Drosophila melanogaster: one gene and its partners. The protein of the gene in region 1 interacts with the protein of each later gene in a pairwise test. Each region holds a gene or a part of one and is shown on either strand. Other genes may lie near its edges. The genes, in order: Taf12, side-VI, CG15927 and CG9331.

Region 1 (5,103 bases):
CTACAGACAATAGCGTGAAGACCTTCTCGTACATCCTGAAAGTCCACAGCGACAATGACGCAATCAACTTCTCCGACTTTAACCTGTTTCCAAAAGAGATAGAGGTTTACAGCACATATGTGCCCGCCTTCGAGCGTTTCTATAAGGATGTTGGCCTACCAGTCACTTTTAGTCCGAAGTCCTTCCGGCTCAGCAAGGACGTCAGCAAGGAGTACCTGCTTTTGGAGAACCTGCAGCCGAGTGGCTTCAAGATGGTCGATCGCATGATTGGAATGGACTTGGAGCATTCCAAGTGCACGTTAAAGAAATTGGCCCAGTGGCATGCAGCCTCTCTGAAGTACAAGGAACTAAATGGACCCTATTCGCCCAAATACAATAATGGCATTTTTACAGAGCAAACGGCACCTATATTTAAGGGTATGTTTGTTAACACTAAGAAATCCTTTATAGAAGAAGTGAGCAAGTTTGACGGTGTGGATGAGTACTTGCACAAAATGGTAAGTCACTTTACTTTATTCCTTGTAACTAACTTAACAAAATCATATTTTGCAGCCAGAGATCTTGGATACGTATGTCGACAGAATACTTGAAGATGCCAAAATAAATGAACAAGCGTTTAATGTGCTCAATCATGGTGATGCCTGGATAAATAACATCATGTTCCAATACGAATCAGATGGTCGCGTCAAGGAAACCCTCCTGTTGGATCACCAAGTCACGAAGTATGGAAATCCTGCCCAGGATCTGTATTACTTCATAATGAGCTCCACTCAACTGGACATCAAAGTCGATCAGTTTGACTACCTTATCCGATGGTATCATCAAAACATGAAGGAGCACGCCAAGCTGTTGAACTACAACGGATTTATTCCCTCGCTAAAGGAACTGCACGCCATTCTGATACAGCACCCCATTTTTGGTAATTTACAGAAGGATTTGAGGTTTTTAAATTCCTCTGACTGACATGTTTTTCTTCAAGCTGCTGGAACTGTGCTCACTACCTTGTCGATGTGTCTTAACAAGACAACCGATGACTTTACCACTGATAGCTTTTTGGGAAATGAAGAGAATGGCAAATCCCTGAGGGAGGCAATGTTTAGCAACGAACGTTATAGGGCCAATATAGAGCGTGTCATGCCATGGATAAATAGACGAGGACTGCTTGATAATTTTGCCAACGGACATTCCCAATAAATACTTTACTTCAGACAAATTTCAGGTTATTTACTATTTAACAAACGACTAAATAAATGTGTGATCACAATTCTAACTTGCTCAAGAGAGCTTACATTTGTATTTCCTACTTTTCTTACTTGAGAGCAAATTTCACGGCCACTACAATACTTGAAACAAAGATTAGTGCGAGGGCCAGCTTCCTAAGATTGGCACGATTCACACCTTTGATGGTCCGTACTACTTCTATATTTAAGCGAAATACGTTGCGACTTTCCTCAATAAAAGCAGCACGCAAATCATCGTCAAAAGCTCCGTAGTGATTGTTGAAAACGCGCCTTAGTTTGGCCTTTAAGACAGAGATCTGAAAGTGGATATAAAGACAATAGATATAAGGAACAAAGTAAAAAGCTACGCACCTTCTCAGGAAAATATGTGGCCTCACATCCCGGCGGGCAAATGGTAACCTGGGCAGGCATTGGCCTGGCCTCCAAGTCGTCTTTGTCTACAGAGCCATCGGCAGCTCTGGCGGTGGCCAACTCTGCCTCCTTGTCGGCCTGCTTCTGCTGCTCCTCGTCATCGTTCTTTGAAAAGATCCACATTTTACGAGCGATCATACGCTTCTTCTGCAACATTTGTCCGCCGGACATCAAAGCCATGTACATCTGATAGGAGTAGGCGAACAGCAAGAGTTCGTTCTGTGCGGCAATCTTTTCCAGATGCTCGAGATATTTCTGGACCGCCGGGCGAATTTCGTAGTCCTTCCTCCAATCGGAACCGTAGAAATAGGCAAAATCCCTTTCAAATGCCGCTGTTCTGTGGAATTCTTTGGGCAGCAGGCGCTCCGGCAGATGGGTCTCAAAGAATTTGTACAGTTCGTAGAAGGCCAGGAGTCCATCATACCAGACCTCGTCATCAGAAAGGGCTATGGAAGAAGAGGAATATCTAATAACTTCTAATAATATCGTGTAATTAACGAACCAAGTGCGATCTTTGCATTCACTAGAACATCAGTAAGATTATGCACATCTTTTGTGGCTTTACGCAACTCCTTTGTGAACGCCATGTCTACGAATTCCACATCCTCCACATTCTCGGAGACCTGACTGTCCGCTATTGTTTCTTCGCTCGCTGACATGTTTCTTTTGCGCAGCTATTGTTCCCAATTACAAAGTAAAATATATTCCTTATCTACGTGATATTTGCAAAATACGCCGTCTTTGTTTTGTTTTGAACTCCACGCCAGTGTGGCTGTCTAACTAAAATATACTGAAATTAAACGTAAATATACCAAATTGCTTTATAGCACCAGCGGGCATTTCAGAGTCGCCTGCAACTGGCCATACTGTTGATTTGGCTGTAGTTGCTCCGCTTATTTTTATTTTGTTTAGTAATTTAGGAAAGTAATAGTTTAAGATCAAAGTGTTAAAACCGCAATAATTGTAAGTGTTGCATGCGCTAAGAGCAACTGCTAAGTAACACTTTAGTTTTAGTAAACACACAAAGCGACGGATTCTTAAGACCGCACGCGTGAAATTGACCACTCTATTCTTTTACTTACATTTCGCTTTGCAACCAAACACCCACGCACACACAATCACCGACTGCAGTTGAGAAAGCAGGAGGACACACAACATAAGCAGCAACAACAACAAGTACACTAACGCTTTTGGCTTTGGTTCTGCACTCTTACCCACTCCCCAAAAATCCGCCCAACTTACTGTACTTTCCCCAAACACTTCCAACCAACCGACCTACCACCCACTTGATTTGACTCTGAAGAAACCCAAAAGCAATGTCGGATCTCTTTACCACTTTCGATAGCAACGGCGTCGCCGAGCACCACCTGCACCACAACCACAACTCCACATCGTCCGCCAGCGGACTGCTCCACGACCCACCCATGGCCTCGCCCTCCCAGCACAGTCCGATGACCAACAACAGCAACTCATCCTCGCAGAACGGCGGACCGGTTTCCGGTTTGGGTACGGGAACGGGCCCCATATCTGGTGGTAGCAAGTCATCCAATCACACATCATCCGCCGCCGGTTCCGAGAACACTCCCGTAAGATGCGTGCCTTATGGAGTGCACACGGAATACGCCAGGGTCTAGTTTAACTCTCTTCCGAATTACAGATGCTTACCAAACCGCGTCTCACAGAGCTCGTCCGAGAGGTGGATACCACCACGCAGCTGGACGAGGATGTTGAGGAGCTTCTGCTTCAGATCATCGACGACTTTGTCGAGGACACCGTCAAGTCGACGAGCGCCTTCGCCAAGCACCGAAAGTCTAACAAGATCGAGGTGCGCGACGTGCAGCTGCACTTTGAGCGGAAGTACAACATGTGGATACCCGGCTTCGGTACGGACGAACTGCGTCCCTACAAGCGGGCAGCTGTCACGGAGGCGCACAAACAGCGCCTTGCCCTCATACGGAAAACGATCAAGAAATACTAGAGGATTGGATCTAATCGGGTCGAGGCTCTGTTTCGGTTTGCCGGATTTCGCGTATGCTAAACGTGCACACGCCACAAACTAATTTAAGCTCCAATTTAGATTAAATAACAAATTATCGTCGCTCTATTGTAGATTTATTGTAATAAAAGTGCACTATTGATTTCACATTCAACAATTGGTCACCGTCAGCAGTAAATTTTAAGTCGTGATTTTTTAATCACAGTTTCTAATGGTTCTGTAATATTTGTATTAATTGTTTGTCTGGTGGATATTGATTTATATTTTTCATAATTTAACAATTTCTTCAGTTTATTTTAAAAATATTTGTGTAATATTTCCCTTTGAAAATAATTAGCGGACTCTGCTGAACGCACCCAATTAATTGCTGTATTTTTTAACAACGTGGTATTTTTTTAATGACCGAACGGTATTTTCCATCTCTCGCATCAAGGTCATACCATCAATAATGTTGATTTTCTGATTGTTGATTTAAAATTAAAAAAGCTTTCAATTGGCCAAAACAAATTTGTTCGCCATGAAGCTGCCGGTGATTTGTCGCACGTGCGACTCCACGGACACCGACAACCTTCTGAAGCTGGCCACGCCCTCGAAAAAGTATCCGGACAAGTTGCTTTCGGAGATTTTATGCGAGCTAACCGAAATCAATGTAAACAAAGTTCTAAGAAGCGAAATCTACGAAAAATGCAAACTAAAATGAAACATTTACCTTTCAGCTGGATGCAACTGGTAGTCAGAAATTTCCGCAATGCTTGTGCAGTGGATGCACCAAAAAATTAATGGGTGCCTATTGCTATGTGAAGCAGGCGATGGCCGCCAACGAACTTCTAATGAAGCATCTAAAGAACGGTGCTGCTCCAACGTCAACCGACTGTCTGCAGGAGGCGCCGATGGAGCTGTGTGCTGAGCAGCATGTGGAAGTCAAGCTGGAGACTGAGGATGAGGACTGTGGCGAAAATGATGTTACTATCACTTGTTCCGAACTACCGGAACCGGACGAAACGGACATGGAGAGCAAAAAGTCGGTGGACCCACTGACCATGATTGAAACGGTGAAGCTGGAAATGGAACCCAGAAGCGTGGAGAAGCCAGCGTATGACGATCCCACATCGGACTTTGAAGACGAAGAGTGGGTGACAATTGGAATTTCCCAACTACTTTATTTTAACTAACTAATCTTGCAGCTCCCTGGATAATTTGCCACTGTATAATCGCATTCAAAAGTGGAAAACAGGAAGAAAGTCTGTATATAAATGTCACGACTGCCCTAGGAGTTTTAAACGATTCGACTTCTTGAAACGCCATGAAATGCGCGTCCATAAGCCAGAAACTCGATTATATGACTGCTCCCTTTGCATTCGCAAGTTCAGCCGCAGCGAAGCCCTCGAAGCACACCTAAAAATTCACCGGAATTCAAAACGATCGGCCAACATTAGCGAGCACAAGAAGGCCAAG
Region 2 (6,180 bases), 710 kb from region 1:
AGCTGTGTGTGAAATTTATTGTTTCAAGTTAATGCCACTTGATGGATTATTTGGCTTTGTACAGCAAAAGCTTTGATTTCAATTCTTCTTTACTTTGAAATGTGATATTCGCCAGTGTGATTTAAAGCGCTTCCATTTGAAAGAGAAGGGACGATTTGGCAAAGAGAAATACGTGCTATAAAGCATGTACTTCTTTGATCAACATAAAAAAACAAATTAAATCATTTCATTTGATTAAAGTACGAACGTGATATTCCTCAGCGTTGTTTAATTTAAAAATGGTTTTAATTAGTACACCTCAGGTCATTTGATATCGCGATTTGTGGGCTCCTGTAATGTACCCATTGGTTTTCTTTTTTGGTTTCTCCAAAACCCAATTCTTTCATACAAATAAAACCTTTAAAAATGTACTGTGATTCAGTCTTTAATTTGTATTTTTTAAATCTGACAAACTATGTAATCGATTCCTATTAAATTCACTTTTTTATGGCCCTTTTCTTCGAAAGGTAAAACAAAACTACAATATATTATCATGTTTTCATTTGAATGGCCCATATATTAGTTAATACATTTAAATCTGGTTTTTTCATATGTAATTTTGTTAGGGTTAAAGTGTAACGTAAAAATAATTCAATATTAGGAAAATGTTTATTCTGCTTATGTATATATATATATATTTATTTTCCGCTGTTCCCAGCAACCTGCTGCTTATATCGGATGTCCCAAAATTCATCTTGGATAGTTCCGCTATTAACTATTAAAATTAATTGTGAAACTTTTCACTCCGAGCTTTATGCGAGTCACACGCTTCGTCTTCCATTTGTGCTCATAAATCTCGTCTGTCTACACACACCAACTCGCATCCTTTCAGCCGTTGTCCTCAAGAGCCTGTCAACAAAGGGCCAGTGAAAGTTTTCGTGTGTCATGACAATATTTACATGCTGCATTAAACTTGCTCCCCCTGACAGGCGAAACTTTTGCAGCTGCTGCTCATGTTATTAAAGTTGCGCATACGCCAGGTTGTCCCCTGGCCAGCTTGATTTATGCGAGAAGAAGCCTTAACTTTTGGACCAGGCTTTTAATAATTTAAGCTCTGCAGAAAATCAGATCTGAGATAGCTCCCCACCCCTGATGCATCCCTGGCCTGTTGCCAAGCCACGTTGCGTTGACTGAGCCGAAAAATGCAAAAATTTCCTGCTGCCGCTCCTCGTTTCTGGCCATGTTGACAATGGCGGCAACAAAGCGCATTTGGCAAGAGCCTGCAGCCTTGCCAACACCCATACCCATAGCCACACATATACCCTTACCCATATCCACATTCACATTCACATTCACATCCACATCCACATGCGAAGACGTGCTCAGCAAAAGTGAAATGGCAACAATATATGTGCGAATGCGAATACGAATGTTACCAGCCAGCCAGTCCACAATGCAACCGGGTGCGAGACTCACTGAGTTGTATACTACTCTGCTTGCCATATATGTATGTATATAGAAATAAAAAGTAGGTTATGCACAGACAGCATTTTAATATGATTTCCATGGCTTATGTCTCCTCGGGATAGACTAACGCACTTCTCAGACTGACTAACTGACACCCCGGCATCAACAAAATGATCAAAGGCAATGGGAAATATTATCCCTGACACAATCGCAGACAAATTGTAAGTTCCACTCATCTGTGTGACCCACTTTGGCGTTGTGCCTTCAAAGAGATCAGCAGGGAATTTCAGCAATACTGATGACTAAACTTATAAAGCTTTATACCAGCAAAGTCTGACAAATGATTATAAAAAATTTATTCGCAGCTGAAGAATTTAAGAAAGCACAAGTTGTGTTCAACAGCTTTGAAAAGATTTAAAATTCCTTTAACTAATAAGTAACGTAACAAGCGTTTGGTTTTCCATAATTGTTTTACCATTTTTTGATACAATATTTTGCTGCCATTCGTTGACAACAAAATGATTCTTTAATATTAGGGAATTAGGAATGAAATTCCTAAAAGATATTTAAATCCTCCAATTTTCCTACACCGTCTTAGATTTGTTTCCAATAAAACTCTTTATTTTCATTCAATTCCGAATTATTATTACAAGAAGACTGCACTGAATTAAGCACTGAATTTATTTCTTGTATTCAGGCCTTTTGTGTGGAATTGTTTTCACTTTAATACCATTACATTTCCACATACCTCCAAGCTGAATAGAATAAATGTTTCTATTTTTAATGCTTCAACCTTCTTAGCACAATGGCCTGCATTATTATTCTTAGCATACTTTTGAGCGCTCACTTTCGTCTGAAGATTAGGTTTGTCGGTACAAAAGTATATGTACGTTTATTTTGGTAGATATTTACTTCCCACATGCACTTACCCCTGTTTCGGCCGTATTGTATCCTTTTGCTGTGGCGTTTACTCCGCTTTTTGGCGTTTTTTACGGCCTTTGTAATAAAATCAGCCCTCAGGGGTTAGGAGGAAATGGAGTTGTTGCTGCTGCTGTGCTTATTGCTTATTGCTCCTGTAGAGGGCGTGTTGGCATTAAGCGAGTTTTTATGCAGCCAGCGAGACGCACACACATCATATGAAAAGGAGCTGAAGGAGTTGGAGGAGCAGCGGCAGGCAATTGAGCAAAAAATATGGCAAAGTATTTGGCGGGTGCGAGGCATAAATTTCGATTTCGTCGGCCTTGCTTTTGCTTTGCTTCTGCTGCTAACTTTCTCGTCTTCGAATCGCCGCCAGCCGCGAGGCCAATATTTAAAGTAGCAGCCGATGCGAACTTTATTTATGGCTCAATAATGTGTATTTTGATTTATGCATTGTGGGCGCGTACACAAGCGCACATATATATAGTCGTACACTGTAACTGCGGCACACACATACACGCTCCCAATCGCACTCACTCACATACACTCACTGTATTGTTGCCTCAAGCCAAAAAGGACGCGATTTGCATAACAACACATTCAGAAACTTAACGCAGGCGTTTGAGATGTTTCTACTTCTACTTCTAGCACGTGCACTCTCGTCTCGCTTGACGTTTTTCTATTTTTATTTGGTTGTTGTATATTCAGCATTCAACAATTGCGATAACCGATTGAGATATATACTTTTGACTAGGTTGGGTGGCACTTGTTTCTTGATTTCCAGCCCAATTGCTTCGTTCGCCAGTTTGCGGATGCGGACGGTCAACACTGCGGCTACGCGATGTGAGGCGATGCGATGCGATGCGATGCCGCCCGTACGACAGCGACAACGACAACGACAACACGACAACGAAAACGAGAACGACAAACGGCGGCAACGGAGCACGACAACTACACAAATCCACGACCTTTTCAGTACTAAAGCGCCTGGCCATTCATTCGTGGCTTTGGCCACTTTTGCCATCGCCCTCCACGATTCGGATCCTTCGGCTTTCGCTCGGGTCGCGCATTTTCGACTTTGCCGAACAGTCGAATCCTTTGGGTTTCCCTGTGTGTGTGTGTGTGTGAGCCTTGTAAGTGGGCCAACACTTGCCGCCGATTCGATTTCGAAAGCCAGAACGGCTGGCAAGGGCCAGAGTATAAGAGTTTTGGTTGTAAAATCCAAAAGTCGTCTTGGTTGTCAATCTGTGGAAGCCAAGTGGTAGGTAAGCTTACCTCAAACGCTTCATGAACTTGAATTGTCAAGTTTTAAAAACGAAATATAAACTACCAGGGGCAAAAGATAAAAAAGATGTTTGTGAATGAAAAAATAAATCACTTCTTATTTTTATCTATTGATAATAATACTAAAAGTTATGAAAAGTATTCACCTTGTTGACTATATCTTGTATTAAAAATCATCTTATACCTTACTTGAAAGGATCCCAAATGTTTTTATTGTTTTTTGAACCAATATTTTTGAATATGCTGCCATGATGATGGAAGTATATCAATATGAAATCCCGATCATGATTTATTTGCGACTTTCCACTTCCCTTCCCCCCTGCCGTGGGTGTCCAGTCCTACCTCAACACCCTTTTGCCCTTGCGAACCTTCTAAAAACATATTCCACCACGCATTCCTGTGGAACCTTTTGCTTTCCCTCTCTTTTGCGTTTCCATCGAACTCACGATGTCTGCCTCTCTTCAAAATCGCATCTACCTAGATGAATGAGAGTTTCAGAAAGCGGTTACCAAGAGCATCTCGCACTTACTGCAGTTTCGCTGGTCAAGGCAGCCAGTCAAGGATCACAGATTACAATGAATACTTCACTAATGTTTGGCTAAAGTTCATGCAGTAAGACTATAAACCCAATTAAATATATAAAGTCCGTATAGGTGAATAAAAGACCAATAGAACCATTTCCGGGTTCTGGCATCGTTTTAAGAAACTCTAATGTCCTACTTATTAAACCCAAAATGTAAGCCCAGCTGAGTGATTAATTAATCAGAATTTCCTGATTGATTTCCTCAAGGTGTAGGCTAAAAAATGGCACCGCTACAACTTAACCTACACCACCATCAAAATCACGCATCACACCGCTTACAAAAAAAACTCTACTACAATGGGGTGTAAGCATGTAAGTTGACATGGGACCACGAGACCCGAAGCTCGCATCTCTCACGCTTTCTCTGAACTTTCTCTCGGCTTTCTCTGGCTCTCTTTTCGATTTCGAAAGCGTGGTTTCGCCAGACATGCGCCCGAAACCAGCAAAAAAAAAACCGAATGAATTGTGGAACGCGAAAACTTTTGCTTGGCATGAATGGGATTTTTTCAAAATTTCCAACGGTTTCACTCTTATACCACTCAAGGAAAGCTCTCGCTTTGCAAGGCGATCCACTCAAAGGATGAAGAATGGGACACATGGGTAGCACTGCAACAATTGCACAGCCTAATCTTATCAAATTTCATTTACACGCTTGGCCAAACTCTAATGGCAAATCCAATGCCGAAATGAAGATAGCACTAAACCACTTTCGTCAGCACACACACACACACACACACACTCGCGGACTCTTTTTCCTTACTTTCCCCATATATATATATAGTGTGCACATATAGAAAATGTAACTGGTGATGTTGTCAAAGTATTTGGCTCCTCCACGCGACATTCTTTGGGCCAAAATAGCGCTGGCTAAACATTAACTAAAACTGCAAAATTCCATCACTCACACACACATAATCAAAAGCCCAGGACGACACTCACACACACATGCAGTTTCGTGTGTGGTGTAGATTGTCGGTCTTCTGTTCCTACAAAATCTCAACGCTCAACCGCCAAGCATGGCATTTCATCAGGCGGCAGCAACGAGAGCAGCTGCACCAGAATCAGTCTAAAACTAATCAGGAATGGCCGATTTGATACCCATTAGTTGTTGTATTTTAGATTTTGCAATAGATGTATTGTTTCAGTTTCCTTATATCTTATAATCATTTTATCATTTATTAATTTTAATTTGTTGATTTCTTTTAAGTATAAGTAATAATGCAGTATTATTTCCAACTACCCCAATCCGAAATGAGTAGCAAGTTTAAAAAACCCTTAACCCCTTTTCCCTGGCTGGCGAAAAACCCCAGCAATGCGAGCAAAGGAAGTGCACTAAGTGCAGTGACCAAATAGCTGCCAGAGAGTCCCGAACCGGCGGCTGATCCTGCTCCGCTCCTGCTCCTGCTCCTGGGTCTGCAGCTGCTCCTGTTTTGCTGCTGTTGCCACCGCCCGGAAGTGGCAATGGTGTTGCACATGACTTTATAGCTTTTACATTAATGTGTGTGTGTGGGTGGGTGGGGGTTCTGTGTGATGTGTGTCTGTGTGCGCGACAGTTTGGCTATAAAGCAAAAGTTGCATTAAATTTAAATCATGAGACGGCGGTTTCTGTGGCCACCGCTCCCTGATGATGAGCACACACTGTCGAAAATAAATTCGGCTAATTAAATGTGTGCACTTTAAAGGGTGTTCAAGATAATTTGGTGAAAGAAAGATGAATATTCTAAAGTGAAGCTACGGCGATTTAGAGAACTAACTGCTTATCAAATATTTAGGTCGAATTTTTATCGAAATTTCGAAATTTTTCCAAAGTGAACTGAGCTGAAATGAGCTGGGCAAAGTTAGGGCCAAGCGGTGTTCAACGTTTTGTCATTAAAAGTTGAGTTGGTGATGGTGCATCGGAAAGCTTTTGGCGCTGGTCTCAAATTTGACTTCTCCTAACCGCTTAAAAA
Region 3 (4,663 bases), on another chromosome or scaffold:
CGGTGGTGGCTACTCCGGCGGTCATCAGGAGGTTAAGACTGTGAAGGTCATCCATCAGGAGGTTGGCGGTCATGGCGGTTACTCTGGCGGACATGGTGGCTACTCTGGCGGCGGTCACCAGGAGGTCAAGACCGTTAAGGTCATCCACGAGGAAGGACACGCTTTGGGCGGCGGCGGCGGCTATGCCGGTGGCTACTCCGGCCATGGACATGGACATGGCGGCCACGAGGAAGTGAAGGTGGTCAAGGTGATCCATGAGGAGGGCGGTCACAGCCACGATCACGGTCATTCGCACGGCGGATTCGAAGAGGTCAAGACCATCAAGGTCATTCACGAGGACGGTGGCCATGCCCACGGCCACGGACCCGCCCCCATCATCAGCAACGAATACCTGCCGCCCAGCAATGAGTATCTGCCCCCCGTATCCGCTCCCCAGCCCGGATATCTGCCCCCATCCTCCAGCTGGAAGTGATTCCATGCCATTCGATTCGAGTCATACTGATCCTTGAGTCTTGTTAAGTAATTTTAGGTCCCCTTTTTTTTCTCATTTCCCATGTTTTTTTTATTGTTGTTCCCATTTTACCTCACCCTTTAAACAAATATACCATCTGTAAATTATAAACCATTCGAATATTGTGTGATATATGGGGTGAACAACGATTTGGAAAGTTTGTTTGCAGCATATGAGAATGTTTAAAGAAATAGTTGGAAAGTTCTGATAGATGGCGAATTAACGTATCATTGATCATTTTGCCTGTTTTGTTTGTTTAAATTTGGTTTAAAAAACCCATTCTTTATGCATTCTAATTCCCATGTATTCACGATTAGTTAGGCTGTGTGAATTAGCATTTTATTCATTTTGATTTGATTCCATTCATGCGGCTCAGTCACTTTCGATTCGCGTTTCAATTTCACTTTCAACTCGATTCGATCGACCCATATTAGCATAATCACAGTCATCTAATTTAGCGGTAGCTCAACGACCTTTTCATCGGTGGGCTTATGTTCATTTTAGATATACGTTGCATCTAATGGATATATTTATGTATGTGTATCTTAACGTTTATTTTTATGTTTCGAAATGTATTTTGTGTCTGGTTGATTATGTTGTAGCGTGTTCTTGTGTCTTATGGATTATTTTGTGTATCTGTGTCGTACATTTTGTATCTTATGGATTATTTTGTGTATCGGTGTCGTACATTTTATATCTTATGGATTATTTTGAACGATGTGGCTTAATTTTAAGCTCGAGTTATTTTTTTTTTAGTTTTGTACATCGAAGAAAAGAAGAACTTGATATAAATGTAGAAAGAAAGTAAATTGAAACGTTTTTTTTTCTTTTTTCAATTATCTTATAAACTTTTAGAACTAGTATTCCATCATTTGGCTTTAATATAATTTGTTTTAAAATGTTAGCAAATATTTTAGGATCATTGATTATTTTCAAAAAAATTCAAATGAATATCATTGAGATTTTGCTTGAAATCAGGTTCATAAATGTGAATGTGCTCTGGGTGCTGTGATGTTTAAGAATAAACAATTAAATGAGTTATATATTATATATTATATATATTATTATATTTTAGTTATTATTTGTGGGGCCATATATCCTGCCGCCTCCTTTTCGCCGTATTTTGATCGATGCGATTATTGTTTTGGCCCAGATACTGATGCAGGGGCAGTGGGCGTGGCGATGAGGAGGTCACACCCAGAAATTCGCTGGTCGGTCTCCATTTCGAGGGCATCCATGGTGAATCGTAGCTCTGGTATCTACTTTGATATTTCTCCTCTTGATAATTGGCCGGTGCAGTTCCCTTCTGTTCGTTGTGAACCTTGAGATTCAACAGTAGTTCACCATCGTCATCGATCAAGTTATAGAGCTGAACACCTTTGGCCTCCCTCAAAGGATTGGCTCTCTCCAATCTGATTTGTTGCTTAACCTTTGGCCTCACTATTGGCTTTGGCCTCTGACCAATGTAACGCGATGATCGATCGTGCGACTGCAACTGGCGCAGGATATTCAATGGCAGTAGTAAATCCGATTCGAAGGGCATAAAGCCGCTGGCTCGCACTTTGATGATATTTCTCAGTACCGGCTGATGGCCATAACTCTCGACCAGGCCAAAAAGGCTCAGAATTAAATAGGCCAAAATGTGCATTTTCCGGCAGGTTGTTAGCTCATCATAAACACAAGGATCACTCGATATAAGCACTCGAATAAAAAATAAACAAAATGTGTTATTCGGTCGAGAGTGAAGCGAAAAAGCAGCGCGTTCTAGGCCCGTGTTGCAGCAACTGAACGGACTAAAAAATACACGGCTCAAATCAACCTAAAGTCAGCTGAATGCGCTCGTAAAAGCGAATTAATTAGAGAAAATACCGTACGGTACACGAATGCACAGTGGGTTAAAATATATGCAAATTTAAAACCAAAAATTAAATAAAATGCACTGTCTTTGCCATTTTAAATATATAAGACGATATAGCATAGATGTTAGTTAAATAGCAAAATTTATTAGAAGTTCATAGCTTTGGCACCATTGTGCGTGGTGATATGTCCAACACTTTGGATTGAAAATAAAAACATAACTGGCCGCGACTGGACGTTTATTGTTTGGTGGCCTGTTGAAGTGGCTCTTTCTTCCATTATTTCCTCTATTTTGTTATGAGCAACACACATTTATTAACAACATCAAGTGAGTTGTGAGCGTATGTGAGTTGTGTTGATTTATGCCAAAGTGGAGAAGAATAATTCTTTGAATGCCTTCGTGTGGATTGACATTAACACTGGTTCACTAGCCGACAGTTGAGCCATTACAATGGCCATTAAAACATAACCCGTCCACTCTCGCTGCCACTGGTAGTGGCCCAAACAAAAAGCCAAAATACAACCATCATAAGCACACACACATCTCCGGCCCATTAGCATTAAGACAAAAGACACCCGCAATCAAAAAAAAAAAAAAAACCCACAAACTACAAAGGCAGTAAACTCTCTATGCAGATTAGCAATGTGGAAAAGCGTGGCTCAGAATTTTCACTCCAGCCGGCATTTGCAGTTGACCGCTGATCACTCTCACTGTTCCACATTTGCATATGGACAGTCCGGTACAGTGCGTGACATAACCGAAGAACTTAATGAAAGTCCACTTTAAGATTATAATAATGTGTTGGGTTCGTAATGAGCCTTTTAAATTCTATTTTTGTATTTATTTGGAAATTATCATCTGAAATACTCAATACTTACTCTTTCGAAACGCACTGTATTAATTGATAATCACCGGAAAGCGCTCGTAACGGTAGCTAAATCACAAACCCATTTGATTGACATTGTTTTTATTCAACATCAATATCCACATTAGACCCGCATTATGTTTGTATTTTTTATTTACTTTTCTTTTATTTCTCATAGACGTAGACCTTTGCTTAATCACTAAAATTTAGAACAAATAATTTGCAAAAAAAAAAAAATATTTATATGCATACGTATATATATATGTATATAGGTAAATGTGAGGAGGGATATCTGTACAATTAGACTTAGATATAAACGTATAGCTAACTGACTAGAATTACAAATTTTCAATGTGCTCCAAAGCTTAACTACAAGGTATTAAAATTTCGATTTCACTTCAATTTGCTTTGATTGTTAATCTCTTGTTTTCTTGGCCATAATAAATATTTACATATACAAATACTGTTGCTCTAAATAATTAATTAGGACATTAATTAGGCTCTAGTCCAAGGTGATGTGAGGATTTGTGTAGGTGAAGCCGTGGAACTGCTTCTGATCCATGGATGCCAATATCTCCTTATCGATGGGTGTTAGACGCACCCTTTCCCTGGTGAAGACCCGATCGAAGTACTGGGTATCCAGGGGATGTTTCTTACGGAAAAAAAAAAAAAATCACAACAAATCACAAATTAATAAAACTAGCTAATTAAGTAATAACTCCATCAAATCACTCACCACTTGCGGCTTGAAGGGCGGCTCGATTTGTCGCTTTTCCAGCAAACCCCAATCGATCGGGCGGAAGAATATATGATCGGCTATATCACCAGCCGGGCTGTACTGCGAACCAATACGCTTCGTATAGTCCTTCTCCAGCAACTGAAAGGTATTACATTTATTTATATTTATATTAAATGGATTTATTATTTTTATCTTACCCCCTTGAGAATCCCGGTTGCCTCGGCGGATATGTAAACTGGGAACCATGGAATTTCATTGCAAATGGACCAGAAGAGCTCGTCTTCATCGCAGCCACTGAATGGCGACTGTCCAATTAGCATTTCGTAGAGCAGCACACCAAACGACCACCAATCCACATTCTGATTGTACTTTTCACCCTACAAATTGAGAGGTAAGCATTAAAAGTAGATGATAGCTAAATCTATAAAATTAAGACTACAACATGTTGGTAATATATTCAATACCTTAATGATTTCGGGCGCCATATAATCGGGTGTGCCACAAAAGCTATCTGCCGTCTTGTCCAAATAGATTTGCAACTTGCACATGCCAAAATCGGCAATGCGAACATGTCCCTCGTAGTCCAGCAAGACATTATCCAGTTTGAGATCTCTATAAATGGCCAAGTATAATATATATAAAATATAAAATCAAAATCAAAATCAATCAATCAAAATCACCTATAGATAA
Region 4 (7,746 bases), on another chromosome or scaffold:
AAATCAACTAAAAAGGTGACATTAAAGATCAACATTTACGCAGAAACATGATAAAACTAAACAGCAAAAACGTTAACCTACTCATTTGTAACCTTCAAGAAACCTTAATGAAATCTTGCCAAAATACTTTTAGACACTGTCTGTCAACCACTAAAGAGATAAGACAAAAATCTTTATACTGATAAGGGGCCAGAAGTACGAGTATTTGTTAGGTGGGGGCCCTAAAAGCAACTAGGACTGATATCAATAGCCTACAGGAACTATAAAAAGCTGTAATCTTTAGATTAGGCATACAGATTACGTCTACGCTGCAAAAGATTGTTTCAAATCGTTGCCACGCCCACAACTGTTACATACATATTTTTGAAAAATTAAAAATGCTTTATGTCCTGAGATCGAGTTGTTCGAAAGGACAGACATATACTTGTATGCAATGAAAACGTTTTCTTCTTCCCGTTACTTATTTTTGAAAGAAGTATACCGTTTACTTTTGGAGTAACAGGTATACTGATTAATCGTTCAATTTAATATACTACTACATCCTTTACTGTACAACATGGTGTACATCCTCTTGGATCACTTGTGGAAACGACGACTCGAACCCACTGCCAAATCGACCACGTCGTTGTTGACAGGGGACTTTGCACCTCTTGACTTCCGGCACATCGGCGTAGTCAGCTGGGGGCAGTATTCATTTAGAGCCACTGCCTTATGGGGCTACTGTCCTGCTCAGTCGCCGGTCTGCTTTCTTGCTGGTTGCAGCAGTTGCAGTTGCAGTTCTCTTTCTGCAGATAAATGCCCACATAGTAATCCCTGGGATTCGCCCCCAGCACCTTGAAACCAACGGGCCATGCCCAGGGGCCTTCAATTATTATATTCGATCAGCAAAGCCATAATCAGTGGGAGCAGGTTGAAAAACTACAACCGAAGTCGGGTTTCGCGAGCGAACTCTCAAGCGGCATAAGCACCCAGTTTTAAGAAGCGATGATCCTATTCCGATCCTGATCCGACAAGCTCCCGCAGCCGTTCCTGGGACTTTTGGATGCGAAATCAGCAGTTTGAAGGTCCTCGATACATTTTGGGGAAAAGTGGTAGGTTTTGCAATTGTGCAGAGCTAAACTTTGCGAATTACTAAATCAATGTTTTCTGCTCTCATTTCTTAAAACGTACAATATTATTTCCTACGATATACTATATTAGTATTTAAATTATGTTTCTCATTCTCTAGCACCAATTATTCTATTGCTTTACCTATTCCATATTAATCAGTTGAGCTAATCTTACGGTATAGATTAGATTCCCACATATTTAATTTAATAAATTTGCAACAGCAAATACTTGTTTTTTAATTGTTTTTTTTATTTTCACATCTACTGGCATGCCAAGGTCATCGGCGGCCTTTCGCACTTTGTTTGGCGGACATTCCAAACTGGTTAGCGGTAGAAAGCCATATTTCCCATTTGAATTTACTAGTAGGCGGGCGACAACATGGGCTCCCCAGCCAAACCGCGGAGCACATTATGGGCAGCAATGGTGGACATGTCGGCACGGGTGCGCTTCGTGGCGGATCCAATATGGGGCAGGACAACTAAAAGAACACATCAAGTGGTTAGTTCAAGATACGATTACACAAACCAAGATAACAATGTTTTAATAAATCAACAAAAGAAGGGAATTATAGAGGTCAACAAGGACGCAGAAATTAGATAAAACATGGAAAGAATAAACGTTACCCTATTTATTTGTAACCTTCAAGAAACCTTAAAGATTCCATTAATTTCAAAATACTTTTAGTCATTGTCAACCACTGAAGAGATAAGTCAAAATCTTTATATTGATAAGGGGCCAGAAATACGAGTATTTGCTAGGTGTGGGCCTGAGGACTGATATCAATAAACTACAACATTATTTTCATTTTCCCACTCACCAACATTGTCAAGCGTCAGCAGCTTGTCCTTGGGCGACAATGGTTCCGGATCCGTGACGTCGAGTCCGGCGGAAAAGATTCGGTTGGCTTTCAAAGCCTCGTAGAGGTCATCCTGGTTGACGATTTCTGAGGAATAAAATAAATAGTTAAAATCGGTCGAGAATCCCAATTAATACTGGTAACTTACTGCCCCTGGCAATGTTAACCAGCACAGCAGTCTGCTTCATCTTGTTGAAGGCGGTGGCATTAAAGACGCCCTGTGTGTCCTTCGTCAAAGGAGAAGCGATCACTACGAAGTCACTCTCGGCCAGAAGGGTATCGAAGTCAACTTTCTTGGCATTGAACTCCTCCTCGATCTCCTTGTGAACACGACGACGGGTGGTGTACAGCACCTTGTCAATGTCGAATCCAGACAAACGCTTGGCAATAGCCTGACCAATGCCTCCAAAGCCGTAGAATCCCACGGTGGAATCACGAATATCCTGGCCCAACAGCCAGTTAAGATGGTAGTTTTCCCACTTGTCACTTTTAGAACGCAAAAGATACAAATTAAGAAATTGAAAGATATATGAATATTTCCAAAATATATAATATACTTGTAGATACTCGAGATACTGATAAATGCCTGTTACTAAGCTAAGATGAAGATAAAAAAAACTTTTTTTTATTGCACCGCCACCTAGCGGCGGTTACATAAACTGCTCGTACCTTTTGTTTGTAGATAAATCGAAAGTCAATACTTTAGAATTTTACATTATGCATGTGAGGAGCCAAAACCTATTGATGATAATGCTTTGTCCACTTGTGAGCGCTATAGAGCAAAAGTGCAAGCGACAGACGAGCGGACAGGCGGTATTCTTAAGAACCGGCTTGCAATTTTAATCGAGAATTCATGCGTATACATTTCACGGCCACACTAAGTTGAAAATAAAGTGTCCCTAGTTTAGCTTAATTATAATAATAATTATGACAATTATAATTTCGGTTTACTCTATTTTTGTCATTGCTCAAATTAATTCTGTAAGTATATGAATCATCACAAACACAACTAACCAACTAGTGGTACTCACTTGTCGATGGTCTTGCGACCCTCGTGAAAACGGCGACTGGCGGCGATCAGGAGACCCACTGCCAAATCGGCCACGGCGGTGTTGAGAACGGTGGGCGTGTGTCCCAGCGGGATCTTACGTCTCTTTACCTCCGGCACATCGACGTAGTCGATTCCCGCCGACATGGTGGAGATGGATTTCAGCTGGGGACCGGCAGCATCGAGGGCCTCGGCATTGAGGGGTTCGTGTCCACCCCAGAGAACGCCATCCACGCCACGGATTTTCTCCAGCAGCTCCGCCCGGTTGATGGGAACACTCTGCACCTGGACGATCTCGCAGTTCTCCTTCAGCAGATCAATGCCCTCCTGGGGAACCTCGGGATGTGTCACCAGGACCTTGAAAGCCTTGCCAGCGGACATGGTGCGATTCTGGCTTTGATTTCTGCTGCCCCTGCGTGGGAGGGAGGCATTACTACCGGCGATCAGCAAGGCCACAATCAGTGGCAGCAGGGAGTTGGTGGCAATCGATCTCATCTCGAAGTATTGCGATCGAAGTCGTGTTTCGCGAGCGACTGAACTCTCAAGCGGCATACGCACCCAGCTTTAAGGAGCGGCGAGAACGGAAAGCCGCTGATCCGACTGCTCCGACCCACGATCGCAGCCGATAAACCAATGAACCTGTTTAGCATTATAATCCGCGCTCTAAATCTCTCCCTATATATGTATGTACGTATGTATGTATGTCTGTAGGCGTTCAAGCCGCCGAGCAGCTGATGTGAGTCTCAGTCTCTCCTACGGCGTATGTATAAGACGCACAACTGGTTTGCTGGTTCGAGAACTAAGGTATAATATTGGAGTTTTATCGAAGTGGATTCAATAATCAGGAACGGTGCAAGATTATTTCTGGGTTAATAACAATAACATTTGGCAAAAATAAACATTCTAAAATTAAGTTTAATTTTACTTAACATGTGGAGCGTAATGAAAAAATTACGAAACATAGATGAATTTATCAAAGACTAAGAGCCAATTATTTTGGCTAAAAAACAGAGACAATTATTTCAGTGGAAATACGATTATATACTGCGGTCAATAATTTCGAGTAGCTAAAATACATCTATCTCCCATGTTTTTTAAAGTACTTAAATTTCGCGGTTATACGGTCGCTATCTCCGCACAGACGCACGAGATTTTTATGGCGAAATTCCGCGAGCAAAAACTTTCAGATATGTTCGCATCTAATCATTTTTCCACGACTCATTCCACTCAACACTTTTGACAATTTGATGGTTTTTTAGCATTGTTTGTTTGTTTGTGGGAGGGAATGGAAAAACCCACAGTAATATTTTGATATTAATTACACTCAATGTCACCAAAGAACAAACCGTCACTCTTAAAAACTCTCTTAACCAAACTGTTTACGACACCAAATGTCACAAGAGAACTACTTTATTATATTATTATTAATTTGTTCTTTACACTATGCTACACTCTGCCTCCAAACGCACCCGACGTGAAAATTTAACTAAAACTTTTTTCCATTGGCTATGCAATAAAAGCTCGCAATCCGATTTCATTTTTATGTTCTCTTATTTAGACTTTATACTTTCTCTTACCGTGAGATCTATAGAACTAGAATACTTTTCAGCTTTGCGTTTGCCGCACGACTGAAGTATTGGCCCCAAAGCTTAAGCCTTATATAGAACTCATATCGTATCGCAAATGAATTATCAATTCCCAAAAAAGAGTTAATACGAGAGTAATTTTCAACATATTAATTCGGTTTACATTTTATGGAATGGTGCACAGATATTTTTGAAGTCAATTGTATAAATTCGTTAAAATAAAATAACATATATGAAATATTTAAAACAATATGCGATCTAACAAACTTTTATTATCGTAAAAATACACCCCTTAAAGGCCGGAAACTCACTAAAATCTCAGTTAAAAATGTAGTTCACTCTTTAACATAATATTGGGGTTATATCAACCAGATTCCAGTACTATCAGCGATCAGCGATTCCCCCTCCGATTAGACCATCATTGGGCATCCCTTTCTGTCGTTGCACACTGCGCTTTGCCGCTACCATCAGTCCGTCCCTTTCCAGCTGCTTATCTCGAAAGGCTCCTTATCGGTGCGAACGAGACAGAGACGGAACTCTTTGGGAGAGTGAGCAGTTGGGAAAGCTGTGCGCCTGCTCGAAATACCAGTTGGGGACTTTTCCCATGTGCTCGCATGCAATTTCCAACTGGAATGGGCACCACCGCAGTTGGAGCCACCGGAGCAGTGGAGCCATTTGGCCATTTAGCCGTGGTGCCATGGAGCCAAAGCACTGCAGTCGGTTGGAACGTGGAACCTACACGACCAGCACTATTTCGCAGTTAAGTACGTTTTTTTGTGAGCGGATCTGCTCAAATTTTGTCCGCAGAACAGCAGGCGCACAGCGTTGGCCAACGCACACTGCGCTTTTTCGTCTGTGTGAAAGCGGCGGCAAGAACCGTTCGCGTTGGCGTTAGCGTCGCTGGCAGTGATGCGCGAATTAACTAGCTAGAACTTCCGACAAAAGGCACAGAAACTTAAAACAAAATACTAAATTACTTTACGTCTACGTGTAAGGAGTAATCAAATATTTTACTGGTTAGAACTGAATATATTCATAGACATGATAATACATATACATATTTATAAGATATTCCAAATGTTAAAAACAATAAAATTATTGATATTGTTACTATACGAAAATTGACTAATCTAAATTTTACTGATTTACGATTTAAGTATAGAACTATTTTAACATAGTTTTAACCATAATACCGCTCTAGTGAAATATCGAAACGGACAGTTTGGCTTTTTGTTTGCCTAGATTGGCTTCACTGAAAGTTGTGCACTTCCTCTTACCTTTGAGATTTGGCCCAGACACTGCACTCTGCCTAATTGAAAGCGAAACGAAAAACCAACAAAATATTAGCGCTTTGTGCGAGGGTGGATTTTTTTGTTGTCGTGACGCGGCGCAGCGTCTGTGCCTGCTTTTTCTTCGTCCCCCACAACGGTTTACACATTTTCTTCGTGCCTTGTTCTTTTGTTTCGCGGCCATTGTGCAGCAGAGTGCCGCACATTGGTGCTCTTCTCGCTTTTATGCTTTCCTGTTACCAAAACACGATGCGTCATTTTGACTGACGTAACCGGAGACAACATTCCAATTGGAGACAGCTGTCTATCAGACGCGACCGTCGTCGTCGTTACGTCTGCTGCCGCCGGCATTGCCAGCGCTAAACTGCGGTTTGGTGAACAAGTAATCAGCAACTGATGACAGCAGACAGACGCCAACGAGAGTGTGTGCGGCGGACAGAGAAGAGAAAATGCGGAGAGATAGAGATAGTGGAGGCGGACAGTGAAAGACGGGGTATAACGGAAAAAATGGAATTTGAGAAGCGCATCTCTCGATCTCTCCACTGAACATATGAAAATACAATGTACATATGTACATATGTATGTAAATAATATTTATAAGTTGGGATATTAGAAAGCCTAACACTAGGTCTTCGTTTTAGGCTAATAAATTACTACAGTTTCGATATAATCGGAAACTGAAAATGAAAACGTTTACTTAGTTCAGTTCCCAACTAAGAACAAAGTGGGCATACTTTTAGGCACTTCTAAGCACTATTCCTGATAATGCTTAATGCAATAAAAGTTAATGTGTCACCAAAAATACACATTGTAGTACTTGTTCACATTTCTTAAAAAGTAATTTACAAACATTTTAACTTAGAACTTAGAACCTTGCTAATTGCATTCACAAGGTAAGATTGGGATTGCCTTCGCACAGCACTCAGCGGGTTAAAGTCAACTGTCAAGGGCAAGTTGCAGACACCTAAGCAGCATCCACAAACATATCCGTACTGCTTGCGCCGCATTCTGCTTGCTTCATATTTGGCGACACCAGCAGCGGGAATCGCAAATGGCGGCCGAGCGACAAAGCTGCAAAGCGAGGCGTCGCGCACTCCGCGCAGGCGCTTTTGGAGCGCCCAACTCCACTCAACGGCCTGTCGAGAAGGCCAAGATGAAAAAAAAGTGGGACGTGCCGGGCCACAAAAAAAGTGGCCAACCGTCACCGATTTTTATGGTGTAGGCTCCCTAAAATTGACGCGCAACATTGAGGCAGGTCCCTCTACGCGATATAACGGAACAGGCGCCCAGAGTCGCCAGCAGCGAGATAACCCGACGGAAGACAAAAAGCGAGAGCGAGCTGTGTCTGTGTGTCTGCGCGTGTGGTGGTGGGCCCCAAGTCGATGGCGGTGCCTACACACGGCACAGCTCTATGAATATAACGAGCACGAGAGCGGGAGCGGGAGTGAGCTCCACCACGAGCTCTAGAAGAGAGAGAGACAAGTAGAGTTGGTGAGCGTGGGAGTTGATGTGCACTTGCATATGTGCAAGTACAGTGCGTCCTCTGTAACAGTAAGCACTAAACTGAAAAGAGACTAGCAAACTAGTAAAGTACCACTGTAGTCATTCCCCAGATTTCAGTTGCTCATGGAAGTGTGTACTTGTGTATATACATATATACCAACATACTTAGGTAGCTAATCCAGCTCTGTTGGCTTTGTAATGATGTTAACATTGACTGACGTCAGGCACGGGTCTTAATTTACATGTCTCTGCTGCTTGGTTTTTGTGTTGCAGCAGTCCCCGTTGCTTACCACACATGATAATTATGGGAATGCAAGTGTTTTGTTTTCGCTGCACTTGCTTGCGGTTAAGAAT

Evidence for each region.
Region 2: the proteins of Taf12 (region 1) and side-VI interact in a two-hybrid assay, tested with the Drosophila melanogaster proteins (one large-scale study listed by BioGRID).
Region 3: the proteins of Taf12 (region 1) and CG15927 interact in a two-hybrid assay, tested with the Drosophila melanogaster proteins (one large-scale study listed by BioGRID).
Region 4: the proteins of Taf12 (region 1) and CG9331 interact in a two-hybrid assay, tested with the Drosophila melanogaster proteins (one large-scale study listed by BioGRID).

The regions. Positions count from the first base shown.
Region 1 is NT_033777.3:11,677,079-11,682,181, reverse strand, and holds Taf12 (TBP-associated factor 12), read left to right. Parts: upstream 1-2,491; 5' UTR 2,492-2,615; exon of another isoform or gene 2,616-2,783; 5' UTR 2,784-2,968; coding exon 2,969-3,238; intron 3,239-3,309; coding exon 3,310-3,630; 3' UTR 3,631-3,796; downstream 3,797-5,103. Other genes in the region: CG6830 (uncharacterized protein), read left to right, coding at 7-497, 553-919, 980-1,194; Ho (heme oxygenase), read right to left, coding at 1,310-1,537, 1,593-2,098, 2,155-2,311; CG18476 (uncharacterized protein), read left to right, coding at 4,166-4,297, 4,365-4,777, 4,833-5,103. UniProt on the Drosophila melanogaster protein: TFIID is a multimeric protein complex that plays a central role in mediating promoter responses to various activators and repressors.
Region 2 is NT_033777.3:10,969,545-10,975,724, reverse strand, and holds the start of side-VI (sidestep VI), read right to left. Parts: upstream 3,345-6,180; 5' UTR 2,376-3,344; intron 1-2,375.
Region 3 is NC_004354.4:12,452,365-12,457,027, reverse strand, and holds CG15927 (uncharacterized protein), read right to left. Parts: upstream 2,300-4,663; 5' UTR 2,160-2,299; coding exon 1,590-2,159; 3' UTR 1,345-1,589; downstream 1-1,344. Other genes in the region: CG15731 (uncharacterized protein), read left to right, coding at 1-472; Pkcdelta (protein kinase C delta), read right to left, coding at 3,737-3,886, 3,971-4,111, 4,171-4,350, 4,438-4,585, 4,654-4,663.
Region 4 is NT_033779.5:20,821,339-20,829,084, reverse strand, and holds CG9331 (uncharacterized protein), read right to left. Parts: upstream 5,444-7,746; 5' UTR 4,970-5,443; intron 4,652-4,969; exon of another isoform or gene 4,361-4,651; intron 3,814-4,360; 5' UTR 3,665-3,813; coding exon 3,573-3,664; exon of another isoform or gene 3,510-3,572; coding exon of another isoform or gene 3,418-3,509; coding exon 2,998-3,417; intron 2,453-2,997; coding exon 2,115-2,452; intron 2,054-2,114; coding exon 1,928-2,053; intron 1,589-1,927; coding exon 1,470-1,588; 3' UTR 1,361-1,469; downstream 1-1,360.